3 linked regions of the Drosophila melanogaster genome follow. The main gene of each other region encodes a partner of the protein of the gene in region 2 in a complex. Each region holds a gene or a part of one and is shown on either strand. Other genes may lie near its edges.

Evidence for each region.
Region 1: Nprl3 (region 2) and Nup44A share a complex: the UniProt entries of both Drosophila melanogaster proteins name them as parts of the GATOR complex.
Region 3: Nprl3 (region 2) and Wdr24 share a complex: the UniProt entries of both Drosophila melanogaster proteins name them as parts of the GATOR complex.

The regions. Positions count from the first base shown.
Region 1 is NT_033778.4:7,986,684-7,991,818, forward strand, and holds Nup44A (nucleoporin at 44A), read left to right. Parts: upstream 1-1,778; 5' UTR 1,779-1,826; intron 1,827-1,848; exon of another isoform or gene 1,849-1,944; intron 1,945-2,832; exon of another isoform or gene 2,833-3,031; intron 3,032-3,148; 5' UTR 3,149-3,269; coding exon 3,270-3,380; intron 3,381-3,441; coding exon 3,442-3,879; intron 3,880-3,975; coding exon 3,976-4,184; intron 4,185-4,244; coding exon 4,245-4,551; 3' UTR 4,552-4,600; downstream 4,601-5,135. UniProt on the Drosophila melanogaster protein: Probable component of the nuclear pore complex (NPC). Involved in maintaining the localization of another nucleoporin Mgtor to the nuclear envelope of early meiotic female germline cells.
Region 2 is NT_037436.4:13,998,833-14,003,472, reverse strand, and holds Nprl3 (nitrogen permease regulator-like 3), read left to right. Parts: upstream 1-1,592; 5' UTR 1,593-1,683; exon of another isoform or gene 1,684-1,828; 5' UTR 1,829-1,846; coding exon 1,847-1,980; intron 1,981-2,039; coding exon 2,040-3,738; 3' UTR 3,739-4,093; downstream 4,094-4,640. Other genes in the region: CG17359 (uncharacterized protein), read left to right, coding at 4,291-4,640. UniProt on the Drosophila melanogaster protein: An essential component of the GATOR subcomplex GATOR1 which functions as an inhibitor of the amino acid-sensing branch of the TORC1 signaling pathway.
Region 3 is NT_033777.3:29,741,437-29,746,952, forward strand, and holds Wdr24 (WD repeat domain 24), read right to left. Parts: upstream 3,657-5,516; 5' UTR 3,564-3,656; coding exon 3,446-3,563; intron 3,388-3,445; coding exon 2,748-3,387; intron 2,686-2,747; coding exon 2,353-2,685; intron 2,300-2,352; coding exon 2,215-2,299; intron 2,155-2,214; coding exon 1,999-2,154; intron 1,942-1,998; coding exon 1,483-1,941; intron 1,417-1,482; coding exon 1,231-1,416; intron 1,168-1,230; coding exon 811-1,167; 3' UTR 536-810; downstream 1-535. Other genes in the region: Gnpnat (Glucosamine-phosphate N-acetyltransferase), read left to right, coding at 262-303; IntS11 (integrator 11), read left to right, coding at 4,034-4,247, 4,327-5,301, 5,357-5,516. UniProt on the Drosophila melanogaster protein: An essential component of the GATOR subcomplex GATOR2 which functions as an activator of the amino acid-sensing branch of the mTORC1 signaling pathway.

The DNA of each region.
Region 1 (5,135 bases), on a different chromosome or scaffold from region 2:
CGGATTGGACACCGGAATCGATCTCTGGCAACCAGCGGGGTGTTATGTAACCGCTTACTCGGAAATCGCGCAGAGAACTGGGACTTGGGTTACACTCTGCGCTGGAAACGACTCAACAGGTGTGGCCCGGTCCCGTACTCAAGTAGCTCCGTTAGTGCGCACCCTCGCAATGGATGGAGTCTTTTAATTGTGCTTTATTTACCACCGATCCTGTGATAAGAACTCTGCTGGCATTACTCAACAGTCGAAAACAAAAGAATCTTACTCGACGTGCGATTATCTCTAGGGCAGCACTTTTCGGGACCTTGGCTGGATATGATACGGTTGTGTTTTGGGTTTAGTTCGTCTTAGGATTTAGATCTACGGTTTCAGCTCGCTTTACCACTCTGCGTGTGCCCTTGTTTAGCTTGTGATGGCAGTTTCGAAGACGAGGTCGGACCGGATCGGATCGGATTGTAGTAGACCGTGTAGGATCGGTTTGAACTTCCTAGACTGACTGGTTCCGCACGATTTCTAGATGGCTACTGCAGTGACCGACGATTGGAACTCAACTGGGCCATGCTCGTCCGAAAAGCACTATCGATGCCTGAACGCCGCTTCTCCGAACGCGCAGCGGACGCCGACTTCGGCGTCGCCACTATCAATATCAACTATAGCTATAGCTTTGACTACGTCTACGGCCAGGTTTTCGTGCGCGGACCTGTGTTTGTGCGTGTTCAGGTTGTTGCGCTCGTATGTTAATCGCCAGCGGGTCTCGCGGGTCGCCAAGCCAATTGTTGTTGTTGTTGTTGTGTTATTGTTTTGCTTATTGCTGGCTCAGCCAGCGCCAAGTGACCAGGAGGAATATATGTGCACTATGTACTACATAAGAACTACATATGTACAAGGAGCGCCACTAATTCGAACAGAAAGGCGGTCGAATTAAGCGGGGCAACCTGCCGGATTAATAACAATTTTTATGAAGGTGGCTCAAGTAATGACGACCAGTGTGCTCCGTCGGTTTCAGTGATCTTTTTGTGAACCAATTATGCCATAACAATGTCCGAATAAATAAATGCTGGGTACAGTGGCACCAGAGAAATATTTAACAAAATCATTTCTTTATTGTCGTCAGTGATGAATAAGGTTTCTGTATATACCGATTCAACAAGTTCTGGAATAACTACAATGACATTTTGTTTTATATTGGATTTTTTGCGTAGTTTCCAAACTAAAAACTCATAAAAACTAACCATAAAAGCATGCCCTTCCAGCGGCAATCGCAATCAGCTTAACATCAGTGAGTTCCACTATAGGAAAGTTCCACTGTTGCACAGCAATTATACCTTAACGGTCTGCGGCTGATAAAAGATAAGAGCGACATGATGATGGCGATCAGCTGTTGCCAACAACCGTCTACCCCTCTCTGTCACTAGCAGTGCGTCCCGCTCTTTTCTCTTCCATGTATCTCTGTCTCATGGGCGGCGGTAGCTTTTCAATGTCAAGGTCGCCGATGGCATTCGGTACTGCTGTTGTTGTTGTTGCTGCTCCAGCTGGACTTAATCTGGGAGTTGACCCAACCGCTGACGGAAATGCACTCTGCTGCTGGGAGCAGCAAGCAGCAACAACAACGACCATAATTTCTCAATTTGCTGGCGTAAGTGGCAAGCGATGCTGATTAGGGTTAAATGGGCGAAAACGCCAGAAATTGATTAGCGCGATGCACTTGAATCGAATTATTATTAACGAATTCAGTGCGCTGCCACGAGCAGAACACGCGAACGCCGCTGATTTGTTTTCATTCCGTGATGCTCGCTGCTCCCGGCATCAGCAGAGGTTTTTTAAAAGTCATAAAAGAAATTCCCGACGCGACGCCCGCTTTAATCTCAGATAGGCGGCGAGTGCCTGAAAAATCTTCCGATTTCGGCATTGGCCTTGGCGACCGATTATGATTAATACTTAACGGTGACGGGTCTTCATGGTTTCGGCTCGGGCTCAATTCCAAATCTTTCCCGGCATCTTATCGCACGGAAATTTTTGTATTTCGGTGTTCGATTCTGTTCGAATTATTCATGTTTGGCGCGTGGCCAGAAAAAAACCGTCTACTGATATCACAGCCAAATAATAATAGAACCGAAAGTCGGTCGCGTGTGAAACGCCTGATTTCGATGTGCTTATCTCTAGGATTTCTACAGAGCAACAAACAACCGATTTGTGCGTGATAACACACTTGAAATCTTGTAGACACTGTAAAGTGCACGGTTTACAGTTAAATTGTTTTTTAATTTCTTAGCAAAATACTACGAATTTGTAGTGACTGCGTTGGATTGAATTTCCGATTCGAGTCCTTGTGATATGCTCATATTTCATAAATATACTTATATCGTATTTATGCAATACAATACCAACAAGAAATGCAGTCTCCAATTTAGTTCTTATTAGGTAATTGATGCCGGCCGACATACACACACGTTGGCAGCTATGCTGCTCTCTCGCCCATACACACACACACACATACGTCACGGGCATCGCGCGATGTGTAAAATCCAATAGGAATCAAGGTCAGCAGCGAGTGCGCGAGCGAGAGAGGGCGAGCAAGGCAAGACATATTGAGCATATTGCAGATGGAAGCAATTGGAATTTATGCTGCCCATTGCACTTTGATTGAAATCCGCACTTTAGCCAGCGAATTCAAATGCTAAACAAACGCGGGTCCCGATCTACATACGACTATGCTGTGGGGTTGTTCACCCCACTCATTTGCATACACATATGCGCATACATTTCGCTCGGATCGTATCGTATAGGATCGGGCCGTAATTACCCGTTTAGTGCTTAGATTACCGCACTTACTCTTCTCCATCGCACTGCGCTTCGCACGTTTCTTTCGGTTGGCAATTTTGTTGTGTGTAACTGTTCTTTTCCGGGTGCAAAACGGCCTCTTGGCGGCTATTGGAGTCCTGACTCTCCGACTAGTGTGGTTCTCGCGAATCCCGGATGGGCGTGTGGCACGGCTGATACGTTATCAGCTTGTGATCGACTAGAGTACTGTGTTTTGTTATTTTTCGCTCGATTTTTTATTCGTATTTCACGCGTAATTCGGACCACTAACTCGGTGTGACCGTTCGCCTGGGCGTACTGAAAAAATACTGAGCAAGGTAAACAACAGCTGTTCGGCGGCTGTTTGCAAGCCAACCCTGTCTCTCCTTGTAGGGCTGCATTACCGGCGCAGATTTTTCGGCGCGTGCATTTTATAAACAACATTTCGGTAAATAAGTTGAGTTTTTATCATGTTCGACGTGGAACCCATTATTGCCGACCACAAGGATGTGATACACGACGTGGTCTTCGACTACTACGGCCGCAGGATGGCAACCTGTTCCAGCGATCAGACCGTCAAGGTGAGGACTCGAATTATTCCTACGATAAACAGCCTAGGTGATCCGGATTTTCTGCTTGCAGATTTGGGACGAGGATGGGCAGGGCAAGTGGAATGTCACGAGCAGCTGGAAAGCGCACTCCGGCTCCATTTGGCGCGTTTCCTGGGCGCACCCGGAATTTGGCCAGGTTGTGGCCACATGCTCATTTGATCGCACCGCCTCCGTTTGGGAGGAGGTGATTGGCGAAAAGGTATCCTCCACCAATACCCCCACTCGCCGCTGGGTGCGCCGCACCACCCTTGTAGACTCGCGGACCAGTGTCACGGATGTGGAGTTTGCACCCAAGTACCTGGGACTCCTGCTGGCCACCGCCTCCGCCGACGGCATTATTCGCATCTATGAGGCCCCGGACATTATGAACCTCTCGCAGTGGCCCGTGCAGCACGAGATTAGCAACAAATTGCCGCTGAGCTGTTTGTCCTGGAACACTTCCACTTACATGGTCACCCAGCTGCTGGCGGTGAGTATATTTAAATTCCAAGTCTTAGTCTATTAAGGATTAATTCTATTATCTGTGGAGTAAGAATAAGCCTAATTTTCATAAATTATTTTGCAGGCGGGCAGCGACGAGGCAGCCACGCCTACTGGCAAGGTCTTCTTATTCGCCTACAGCGAGAATTCCCGAAAGTGCGTTAAAATCGATACTGTCAATGATATAACCGATCCGGTCACGGATGTGGCCTTTGCTCCAAATGCCGGACGCACCTTTCACATGCTGGCAGTGGCCAGCAAGGATCTTTATATTGTGAACTTGCGGGGTGTAACGTAAGATCGACAATTTAAAGACCCAAAATCATTTAATAATAATAATTTTTATAATTAAAGGGACGCCACGGACATCTCCAAGTTGGACATCCAGACCATTAAGTTTAGCGAGCACAATTGCCCAGTGTGGCGCGTCTGTTGGAATATGCTGGCCACGATGCTGATCTCCACGGGCGACGACGGTTGTGTGCGTCTGTGGCGAATGAACTACAACCGGCAGTGGCGCTGTGCCGCCGTCTTGAAGGCAGAGGGCAGCGGACCCACCTACGAGCCTGCTCCGCCCACTCCGACACTGGCCACTACCGCCTCGGCCACGGCCAAGTTCTACAAAAAGGGCACCATCGGCAACCAGGTGCCGTGGCACTGATCTTGTTCTTAATTGTAAGAGTTCCGAATAAATTCCTAAGTTAAACCTCAGCCGCTTGCCTTTCAATATGAGTGGTTTTCTTTAGTTATGTTTAGAGTTCACGGTATTAATGTTAATGTTATTAATGAAGTGAACTATCAATGGGTTTACGCATTATTCAATCGTTTTAAAGATTCCGTGGAACGATAATTTTCTAGAAAAATATTTTTGATTAAACTTTATCTTGGTGCCACCATGAACCAAACTTATATCACTGTGCGGAATAGTCCACGTAGTGTTCGTCGCGCACCAGAAGACACAACGAATCTTAGTAGTCCCGAATCATGAATCAATAAATCTACTCGGTTATTGTCGGATTGTACGTTTTGCTATAAAGTTGGAATCGCATCATTTGCGTAATTCGTGGATACTTCCCATACGAAATGGGTCTAAACGAATATTCGGAAGGCCTGTGTGTTTTGATACCACCACTTACATCTCGGATTAGAAGCCGGCATTCTTGCGAATCCAATGAATAGCTTTCTGGTCCACATTTCCCCAGTTCAGTGTTCCTCAGATCGCTTTTCCTAGGGCATTTTCGCGTT
Region 2 (4,640 bases):
AATATTTCCGATTTGGGCGCGCACTCACATACAAACACACACACTAGTTTTACTCACCGTTTACTCTGTTATTTTGAATTTTCACTTCATTTTGCACAACTTAATTTAATTTAACGACAAGCTACGTGGTTTATTTTTTATTTCGAAACTTTATATTTCAATTTTATAAATACAAATTAAATTTGTATACACTTTAACACTGGTTCTTTTTTGTTCCGTTGCACATTGTTGATTTGCAGCATTTAAGTGATGGCGCGACGTTGTTTCGAACGTTTACTACCTGCACAAATTAAAATGTTTCTACTTTGATTAATCAATTTTATTATTATTAATACCGTATGGCACAAGAAGCAGAAGACAAAACGCGCAGGAAAACACATAAACTGGGATTGCTTAAGACGTGTGTAAGAGCGAGACGACCAGTCGGTTTGAGCAGACCATATAGCTAGTGTGACCGTTCTAGCCTATGGACAAGACATGCCAACTGACTATTATCGCCTATTTTATTTTGTTCGCCTGCCCTGCTTCTTCTTCTTGGTTTTTGTGTTGCGCTGTTTCCCTGTTTAGCCTATTACTACTGCGCCTGGCCATTCCGAAATGCTGTACGTACATATTTCGATTTCGCCTTTCCGCCTATTCGTTGATACCCACACAAACGTATATCTGTGCATGCCTTTCTACGTAGGTATGTGTAAAATCTATACACACGGATGTTGGCGCACATATACACAAAAAGTAAAATAGTTATGTTATTAACTATTTAACCACAAGCTATTTACATTTTAGGCACTTATTAATCCTATTTTCCAAAATACAAGGAATAGATACAGAAACGAAGACATAGTAGAAAAACAAACCTACAAGTAAATGACAATTAGTTGAAATTAACTTATTGGCCACCATACTGCCGAAGAGTGCGAAACTAATTCAGAAGCGAACCACTCAGCCAAGTAAACTATATTTTTTTGTAGAATTAGTTATACCTCTCCTACACTCACACAAATATTATATATATGTATATATAGACCGCGGCTAGTACACGTTTAGCGTCGTCTCGCTCCCACCTACGATCCGCACGTATTTTGCCTCTCACAATGTGTGTGTTTTCCTCTTTTCCAACACGCTAATAAGAAATCGTCATTTTTAAAAGTGCTTTTACAGCCAAACTAACATGTTTCACAGGGGAATTTCATAGTTCTGCGATTGCCGCGTTCGCATACTACGCTCCCAGTTATTTTCACAAATTTTTTGTTGACGTTTCGAGCACAATTTCCACACGTTTTGCTCACAACTTTCCGCTTCTAAAAAATTAGAGACTGACCAACCGAAGACGGTCACACTACAGCGGAGCGATAGATCGTTATCGCTCGACCAGGGATCCTATACTATTAGCCTTGCCGATATATATTTATTTATATAGTAAGACCGTTTTTCGTTTAGTATTTTTTAGTTTTTGAATATATTATCTAAGGTATCTATGGTAAATTTAAACGATTTAAAAAAATTCCATTGCGTTGCATTTATATTATTGTTTCGCCTGCAAAATGAAAACTGACATGACTACTATTTTAAATAAGTTTTTGGTATTTTATGCAAACTAAAAGAGAGCCACACTGCTGTAAATATATTTTATATTTTACATTTATTTACTTTGCTTCCATTTCTCAATGAAGTCAAATTGAGGTACTAATAAATAAATAAAGAGTTGTTGAGGTAGTTTCTGTAGCAAACTACGATTTATAAAGTATTTTTGAAAACATAGCCAACTATTTGTTGACCCTGACCCCAGTTGATAATGCAAATGTTCATATTTTAATTTACATAAAAGGGGAAGTGTCTGTGTGCCATGGAAACTAATGTGAATCCCCTGGCCGTAATCCTGGTTTACTTCGATAGCAAGGGGGATCGGTTACTGTACAGGTATCCGTACCAGACTCTCGGCCAAACGGAGGTGGCCAACGACGAGCAGCGGAAGTCCAGGTACTACCTATTAATTCAAAGGGCACTCAGCTTGACTATACCGATTTATTCAATCACAGAAAGCGCAATCCCTATGCCGTGGCCAATACGGACGATCTGCTGCAGACACCCACCCACTTGGGTGCTGCCAAGAGCCAAGGACAACTGCAGGGATTCGCAGATGAGGTCCTGTCCGCTCTGTTTGCTGTTAAACCACAGCTATGCAACCAAAAGTTTGAACTCAAACTGAACGACGTACGCTTTGTCAGTCATCCCACTCTGATACCGCAAAAGGAGCAGAGAAGTGGTCCAATGGCCAAGCAACAGATGCTCATCAACATTGTTTTTGCGCTGCATGCACAGGCCAGCTACTCGATTGTTAAGTGCTACCACGAACTGAGCAAGCGCCTTGGACTGGCGCTGAAGTTCGAGGAGCAGCGCAGTGGCTATCTCACCGAGCAGACGGCTCAAATGGCTCGCACACACGACGAGCAGCAGCAACAGCCGCTGGAACGCACACTGGAGCTGATTGCAGAGCGCTGCAGCTTGGCACAGGCCTTGCGCTCCATCTTCCATGATCTATGCACCACTGGACTGCTGAGTACCTCGCTGAATCACAACCTAACGTTGTGCTTCTGTCTGCCCGCTAAGGCACACCAGCTCCATAAGAAGGGCAGCATGGTGGATCCAGAGACCATAGATCGGTGCCTTCGTGCACTGAAGCCCTATCATGGCATGTTGCTGCTGGTCGACTTTGCCGAATTGTTGGACTGCGTTCCACCGACTGGGGCACGCATGCTATGGCAGCTAGTCGACGTCTACGACCCACTGATCAGTCTGCAGAGCATGTCCTCCAATGCAGACTTGAGTATCGAGCATGTTTATAAGCTCGTCTCGCATTTGGTCTACTGGGCTAAGGCAACTATTATTTATCCACTCTGCGAGACAAATGTCTATGTGATCGCGCCGGATGCACCATTGCACACCAAGTCCCACCTGGTGGAGAAGTTCTCGGCCCGTTTTGCCGGTATGTCGCTGTTCGAGGTGATCTCCGATTTTTCATTGCCCACTTCAATTGGACACTTAACCACGCCACTGCAGCAGCCAGCGCGACAGGGTATCCTCGCACAAATGGTGATTTGGATGCTGCAGCACCATTTGCTCATGCAGTTGCACACGTACGTTCAGTTTATGCCCAGCGAGGATGAATTCGGAGATTCGGCCTCCTGCAGCAACCATCTAAGGGATGCCATTAGCGATGAAGAAGGAGACCAAGAACCAGATGCGGACGAGTTGCATGGCTCCATGCTTAGCATGTCCAGTCATCCGTTGCCAGTGCCAGCGGTATTGGTGGGCGGACATCGTCGTGAGGCGTCCGAGGACCATTCATCACTGGCCTCGGACAACATCGCCGTGCAGCCATCATCCAGCCACAAGTCCAATTTCAGCATCACCGCCTCGATGAGCACGGACAATTGCGACAGCCTCGATTCCATGGAGGATGAGCAGAAGCTGAAGGAGCTGCTACAGGTTTTCAGCGATGCGGATCGAGCCGCCATCCGTCGAATTCCCGCCTCTGCCAACGTGGATGATCTATCTCTGCTTGTGAAGCTGTATCAGATGGGTTACTTTAAGAGCGAGCATCATCTGGAGGAGATCATGTACTTCGAGAACCTGCGACGTTCGCAACTGCTGCAATTGCTTGATAAATTCAGGGATGTGCTTATCATTTACGAAACCGAAGATCCTGCAATTGCATCCATGTACAATACCAAGTAGAGTTTGGGACGAATTTGCATTCCTAGATTTTAATGTTGAATGTTTTTGTTTAGTTTTTGAATATAATCTATAAAATAGGTATGCATCTAATTTTGTAAAGTTTGCGAAGCAAATCAATTTACGCTTGTAGACTACATATTTTGTTATTTATTTGTACAAGCAAGTTCTTAAGTTCAATTCAATTATTGTCAAACTATGTTTTTCCGTGATTTCATACAAATTCAAAAAATTACTCATATTCAAAACAGCGTTACATTTTAAGCTTCGCGCCCATTGTACAGCTTTAAGGTATATCGATAAGTGGGGAATATTCTGATGCTCTAAGAGCCAGATTAAAATAAAATATTTAAAAAATACGAAAAACCCATTTTTAACTTAAAAAAACAACTTTAAATCATAAATCAAAGCTGATAAATTAATAAGATGCGAAGCACAGCTGATTATTCGGTATTTTTTTGTTGGTATATTCCAGTGATTGGTATTTTAATAGTTGCATTTTGTTGATATTGTATATTTTTGATCCTGCCTACGAAACTCTGGAGCTCGGCCACGATGGACATTTCGCAAATGTGCCGCGTTTGCAGGGACGAATCCGACTGCCTGTTGGATATATATACAGAGCCATATGCCTCCTCCAATCGGGTCCAGGAGCAGGAGCCGGTCTTGGCCACAATGCTGAGGGAATGCAGCGGATGCAGCGTGCATAAGGAGGACGGAATGCCGCAGTTCATCTGCGTGGAGTGTGCGGAGGCCGTAAGAAATGCCTATCGGCTAAGACGGCAATGCCGAAAGAGCCATCAGTACTTTGAACAGCTGCGTCTGATGATGAAGGAGCTGGACGATATAGAGTATTGCCTGAATATAGGGGATAACATAGAACCACAGATGCCGGTCTCGGTAAT
Region 3 (5,516 bases), on a different chromosome or scaffold from region 2:
GAGCACCCCATCTCAAAGTTACAAATGCGCGAAGCGCAATGCAACAAAACTAAAATTGGATTCTAAGAAAACATTAAATGCATATAGGCATTGCCAAAATTCCATTGCGCTGAGGGCATGATGGATTTTTGGACAGCGCTGGCTGGCGGTGGTGTCCTTGTGGACGGACGTGCTTGTCCACCCACCCGCGAGGACATACAATTAGATATTTAGTTAAAGACAACCGCAACATATGTTGCTCTCTGTTTTTAATCCCTACAGAACTCTCAATTTTATAATTTTTTCTCCCCTTTCTGCTACTGAATGTGCGGCTCGACCTCTCAACTCCAAGGTGGTTGTAATATTACCTTTTAAGAGCACCTTCATCAAGTAGCCCTAAGATTGAAACACTCGCATAACTGTTAAACTGTTATTAACACTAATCAACAATAGCGATTAAAACCCAATACGAATCTTTCAAAAACCTTTAATGATTGAAGAAATTCAATAAAGTGGACACTTTTTTCAAAAGCCCAGAATGTTTATAAACTTACTTGCATCAACAGACAACAGTTTTATTTTCCAATATTTCAAAAAAAGTTAAGTAACAAACATTTGTGCTATTTAAAGTTGCAGAAGATCGATTAAACCTGTCTGTTAATTTACTTCACAAACGTTGAGCTTATTTTACAAGTTTACATCTTCGAGCTACATTTATATAAAAATCTGTTTAGTGTCTAGTGCAAGGTACTTATTGGGCTTAAGTCTTCTCTATTTACAAGGCTCTCAAATGGGGGGCAAAAGCTGGGCAAACCCAGCCTCCTCCGCGTCTCATGAGTACGCGCAAAGGTGTCCGCACTTGGGGCACTTGGAGTGTTTGGCAAAGTACTTCTGCAGGTGCTCTATGTGACCGCCGTGGGAGCATCCTTGGCACCAGGCGTAGACTCCCCGGACGATCAGACCGCAGACGCAGCACTTGGCGGACTGCATGGACTTGCACTTGTCGCAGTACCATCCCACCTTGCCGCCCATTGGACGTCCACACTCTCCACAGTTCGTGTGCATGGCGGTCGAGTGCTGGTTGAGCTGCTGCACCGATCTCAGCCAGGAGCGGTTGATAACCTCGCAGGCCTCGTTCCACAGCTCATAGCGATGCAGCTGGTCCACGTAGGTGTAAAACCAGTGCTCCTGAAAAGGAAGAAAACCGGATGAATAACTCCGTTCTGATCCCAACTTTGTCTTTGAACTCACCACCAATGCATCGTCAATGGGCAGGAGCTTCCGAGCTTCTCCCAGCGCTATAAGGACTGTCAGAGCTGTTTGCACATCGCCCACATCGTTCATTAGCATGAGGGCATCGGAGACGAACTTATGCGGTTCCCACATGGGTATGGGCGGGACATGGCTGACTTTTAGGACAGTGGGAACATGCGGTGGCTAAAAAGAGGATGAATAAGTTAGTTAAGCTGTAAATACATCGAGTTCTCAATAATCTCAACTAACAGGTGACTTTTCGTGATCGGACGCCTTGAGATCCAGTTGTGGTCGTGCAGCCTGCACATCGTGATGAAGGGCGGGGAAGGCCAAAGCTTTCGGGCATTCTGTGGGACCCACGTAGATAAACCCATTGCGCAAGAGCTCAAAGTTGTCAAAGGTAATCTCGCTGATGATTTGCGTTTCGGACAGAATCACTGAGCTCGTAGGCGGATGCTCCACACCACTGCTGCCGAGCGTATCATCGTCCACATTCGCCACATCAATTTCGTGGGCTGTTTCCGGCGTGTTTCCATTGAGATCCTGGCCTAGTTCAGTTCGCTGCTGTGGCCAATCGCTGGCTACTTGCGTGGCACGTCGTGAGTTCATTGGATTCTTTTGATTCGAGAAGGAGGAGCGGTGCTCGAAGGGAGGCTCAAAGTGATTGCTGCCGTAGAACAATTTGATAAAGTTCCACAATGTGGTGGCCTGAAAAATGTAGATGCTAAGTTTTGGCAAATTTTGGGAATAATCTCAAGCGCTTACATTATGTTTGCCGTATTTCTTGGAAACCTCTGCATTGTGCTCGCATAACTCCGATAGTTTTTTCCCACTGATAACAAGTTCCCTGGCACAGCCAATAAAACTTTCGTGTTCTTGGGTGGGTCTTGAAACAGATTCGCTTAGGGGATAGCCGGAAAACTGAAATATATCAATTAGTATCAGATTTGGCAAAGAAATCCCTAATAGTGTCATACTAACCGTGTCGTTTACCATGAATTTGTACATTTTGGAATGGTCCAAATGGAACTGAATGCTGCCAGCCACATTCGTCTTACGGCGACTTCTAAAATACACATACATATAAACATACAAGTTGATACAACAAATACGACATACATGAAGCTAGAAGACTTGGTATTGGATGCACCGCTGGTCTTGGGTTCATACTCCTTGATCTTGTTGGCAAAGGAGATGTCCCCAAATCTGCCCAGGCTAGCTCCCTGGGCATTTGCCTTCAGCGCTGGCCTCGTGGCATCCTTAAAAGCATGTTTGTAAATGGTGGAGTCCTTGCTGATGGACAGAAGACAGTGCGAGTCGCTGCCCTGCCACGCAATTCCAGTAGTCACATTGGTGTGCTCGTTGAAGGAGGCAAAGGGGATGTAGGGTCTGCGGATGTCCCACACATGAACGCTGTAGTCCACCACAAGGGCACAACTAGCGATGTGATAACTGGAAAGGATTAAACAGATTTAATATAAATAAGACTGTTAAACCTGGCTAGAAAAACCTACGTTCTTTCTGGTCGCCACTTAACCCGTCCCACTACGGCGATTGTGTGAATGGTGTGCTCCAATCCCGGCCTGCCATCCATGTTCCACACCTTGATCTGCTTGTCCCGACTTCCGGTGGCCAGCCAATTCCTTGTGGGATGCCAGTCGCATGTGTAGACTGGCCCGTAGTGCGCCGTAAACTGCACCATGCACTTGTCCCACTTCCGCATGTCCCACAACTGGACAGTTCCATTCTCGGAGACGGCGGAGAATATGTTTTGTGTGTGTGGACTGAACTTGACATCCCGCACTGATTCCGAGTTGCAGAAGTAGGTGTTGATTGACTTATCCGATCGGATGTCGAAACACTTGATGGTGCCATCCTGAGAACCGGAGATCAGGATGTTGGGCTCGCTGCTGTGAAAGGTCACGGTATGAGCGGTGCGCTCATGTTCGTTGTAGACAAGCAGCTGCTTCTGCCTGCCGAACTTGGAGAGATCCCACACGGAAACCACTCCGTTCGTGGCCGCCGTAGCCAAAAGATTGCTATCCAAGGTGGACCAGGCCACATCGTTGGCGGAGTAGCTAAGATTCTGGTTCTTTCCGCGCATATTACACGATTCCGTGAAGCCATTGCTGTTTATGGAGTACACCTTAAGCACTGTTCGGAAGCAAATTATGTGTATTTATAGAAAGACCTTGGGCAATTCTAATCTTACAGCTTCTTCCGGCCAAAGCAATCTGGTTGTTGTCCTTATTCAGGGCCAGGGCGTTCGCGTGTCCTTCCAGGCATATCCGCAGCGAGATTGTGGAGGTGTCCTCCACGGAATCGGGCATCCTGCAGCAGTTGCAAGTTCGCCCGCAGAAAGCAAAACAGTGATTTGATAAGACAAGACGCTATCTTTTATTTTCCTTTCGGTTCAGTATGACCGTTTCTCGAGCGGCAAACCATTGGCGCGAGTGTTCCCAAATGCAGATGTTGAATATTGTTTGAACAAAAGACTTATTGTACTAAAGTTGTATTATTCACATATAATTAATGTATTCTATACATATACAGACAGAAACATTAATTTCAATTAAGCTATTAAATTCTTTGAAACTTCTTGGAACACTCCAATAAGATCTGCCAGTTGGAGCGCGTCGTTGCCGGACCATCCACACCGACGGAGTGGCAACGCCATTCGTGCGGCCTTGCTGTTTACAAAAATCACGGTCGACTTTTTCGACAATTTCATTTACCAGCGCAACAAGTGGCCGCAAGAAAGCAGGAGAGTGGAGCCGGGTGATCCTGATCCCTTCCAGAAATGCCGGACATCAAGATAACGCCCTTGGGCGCCGGCCAGGATGTGGGCCGCAGCTGTCTGCTGCTCTCGATGGGCGGGAAGAACATAATGCTCGACTGCGGGATGCATATGGGCTACAACGACGAGCGCCGCTTCCCGGACTTCTCCTACATAGTGCCGGAGGGTCCGATCACCAGCCACATTGACTGTGTGATCATCTCGCACTTCCACCTGGGTGAGTCTCGGCCTCCCAAAGGCGCTCTTATCTGGTCAACTGGCTCTAATCGTTTCTTTATCGATTGCATGCATTCCAGATCACTGCGGGGCCTTGCCCTACATGTCAGAGATTGTGGGCTACACGGGGCCCATCTACATGACGCATCCGACCAAGGCCATAGCACCCATCCTCCTGGAGGACATGCGGAAGGTGGCCGTAGAGCGGAAAGGCGAGTCGAACTTCTTTACCACCCAGATGATCAAGGACTGCATGAAGAAGGTGATTCCCGTCACACTTCACCAGAGTATGATGGTGGACACGGACCTTGAGATCAAAGCCTACTATGCAGGCCATGTCCTGGGCGCCGCCATGTTCTGGATCAAGGTGGGCTCCCAGAGCGTTGTCTACACGGGGGACTACAACATGACTCCAGACAGGCATCTGGGAGCCGCCTGGATAGACAAGTGCCGGCCGGACTTGCTGATCTCCGAGAGCACCTACGCCACTACCATTAGGGACTCGAAGCGGTGTCGCGAGAGGGACTTCCTCAAGAAAGTTCACGAGTGCGTGGCTAAGGGCGGCAAGGTTTTAATCCCTGTTTTTGCCCTGGGTCGCGCCCAGGAGCTGTGCATCCTGCTGGAGACGTACTGGGAGCGCATGAACCTCAAGTACCCCATATACTTTGCTCTGGGTCTTACCGAGAAGGCCAATACCTACTACAAAATGTTCATCACCTGGACGAACCAGAAGATCCGCAAGACCTTCGTTCACCGCAACATGTTCGACTTCAAGCACATCAAGCCCTTTGACAAGGCCTACATCGACAATCCTGGCGCGATGGTAGTGTTCGCCACGCCAGGCATGCTGCACGCAGGTCTTTCCCTGCAGATCTTCAAGAAGTGGGCGCCGAATGAGAACAACATGGTGATTATGCCCGGCTACTGTGTGCAGGGAACCGTGGGCAACAAGATTCTCGGTGGCGCCAAGAAGGTGGAGTTCGAGAACCGCCAGGTGGTCGAGGTCAAAATGGCCGTGGAGTACATGAGCTTCTCGGCCCATGCAGATGCCAAAGGTGGCTACAAGCTTAGCACTTTTATGCTGATACTAATTAATTTTCTGTATTGCAGGCATTATGCAGCTAATTCAGAACTGTGAGCCAAAGAACGTCATGCTCGTCCATGGTGAAGCAGGGAAGATGAAGTTCCTGCGCTCGAAGATCAAAGACGAATTCAACCTGGAAACCTACATGCCGGCCAACGGCGAAACCTGTGTGATTTCTACGCCTGT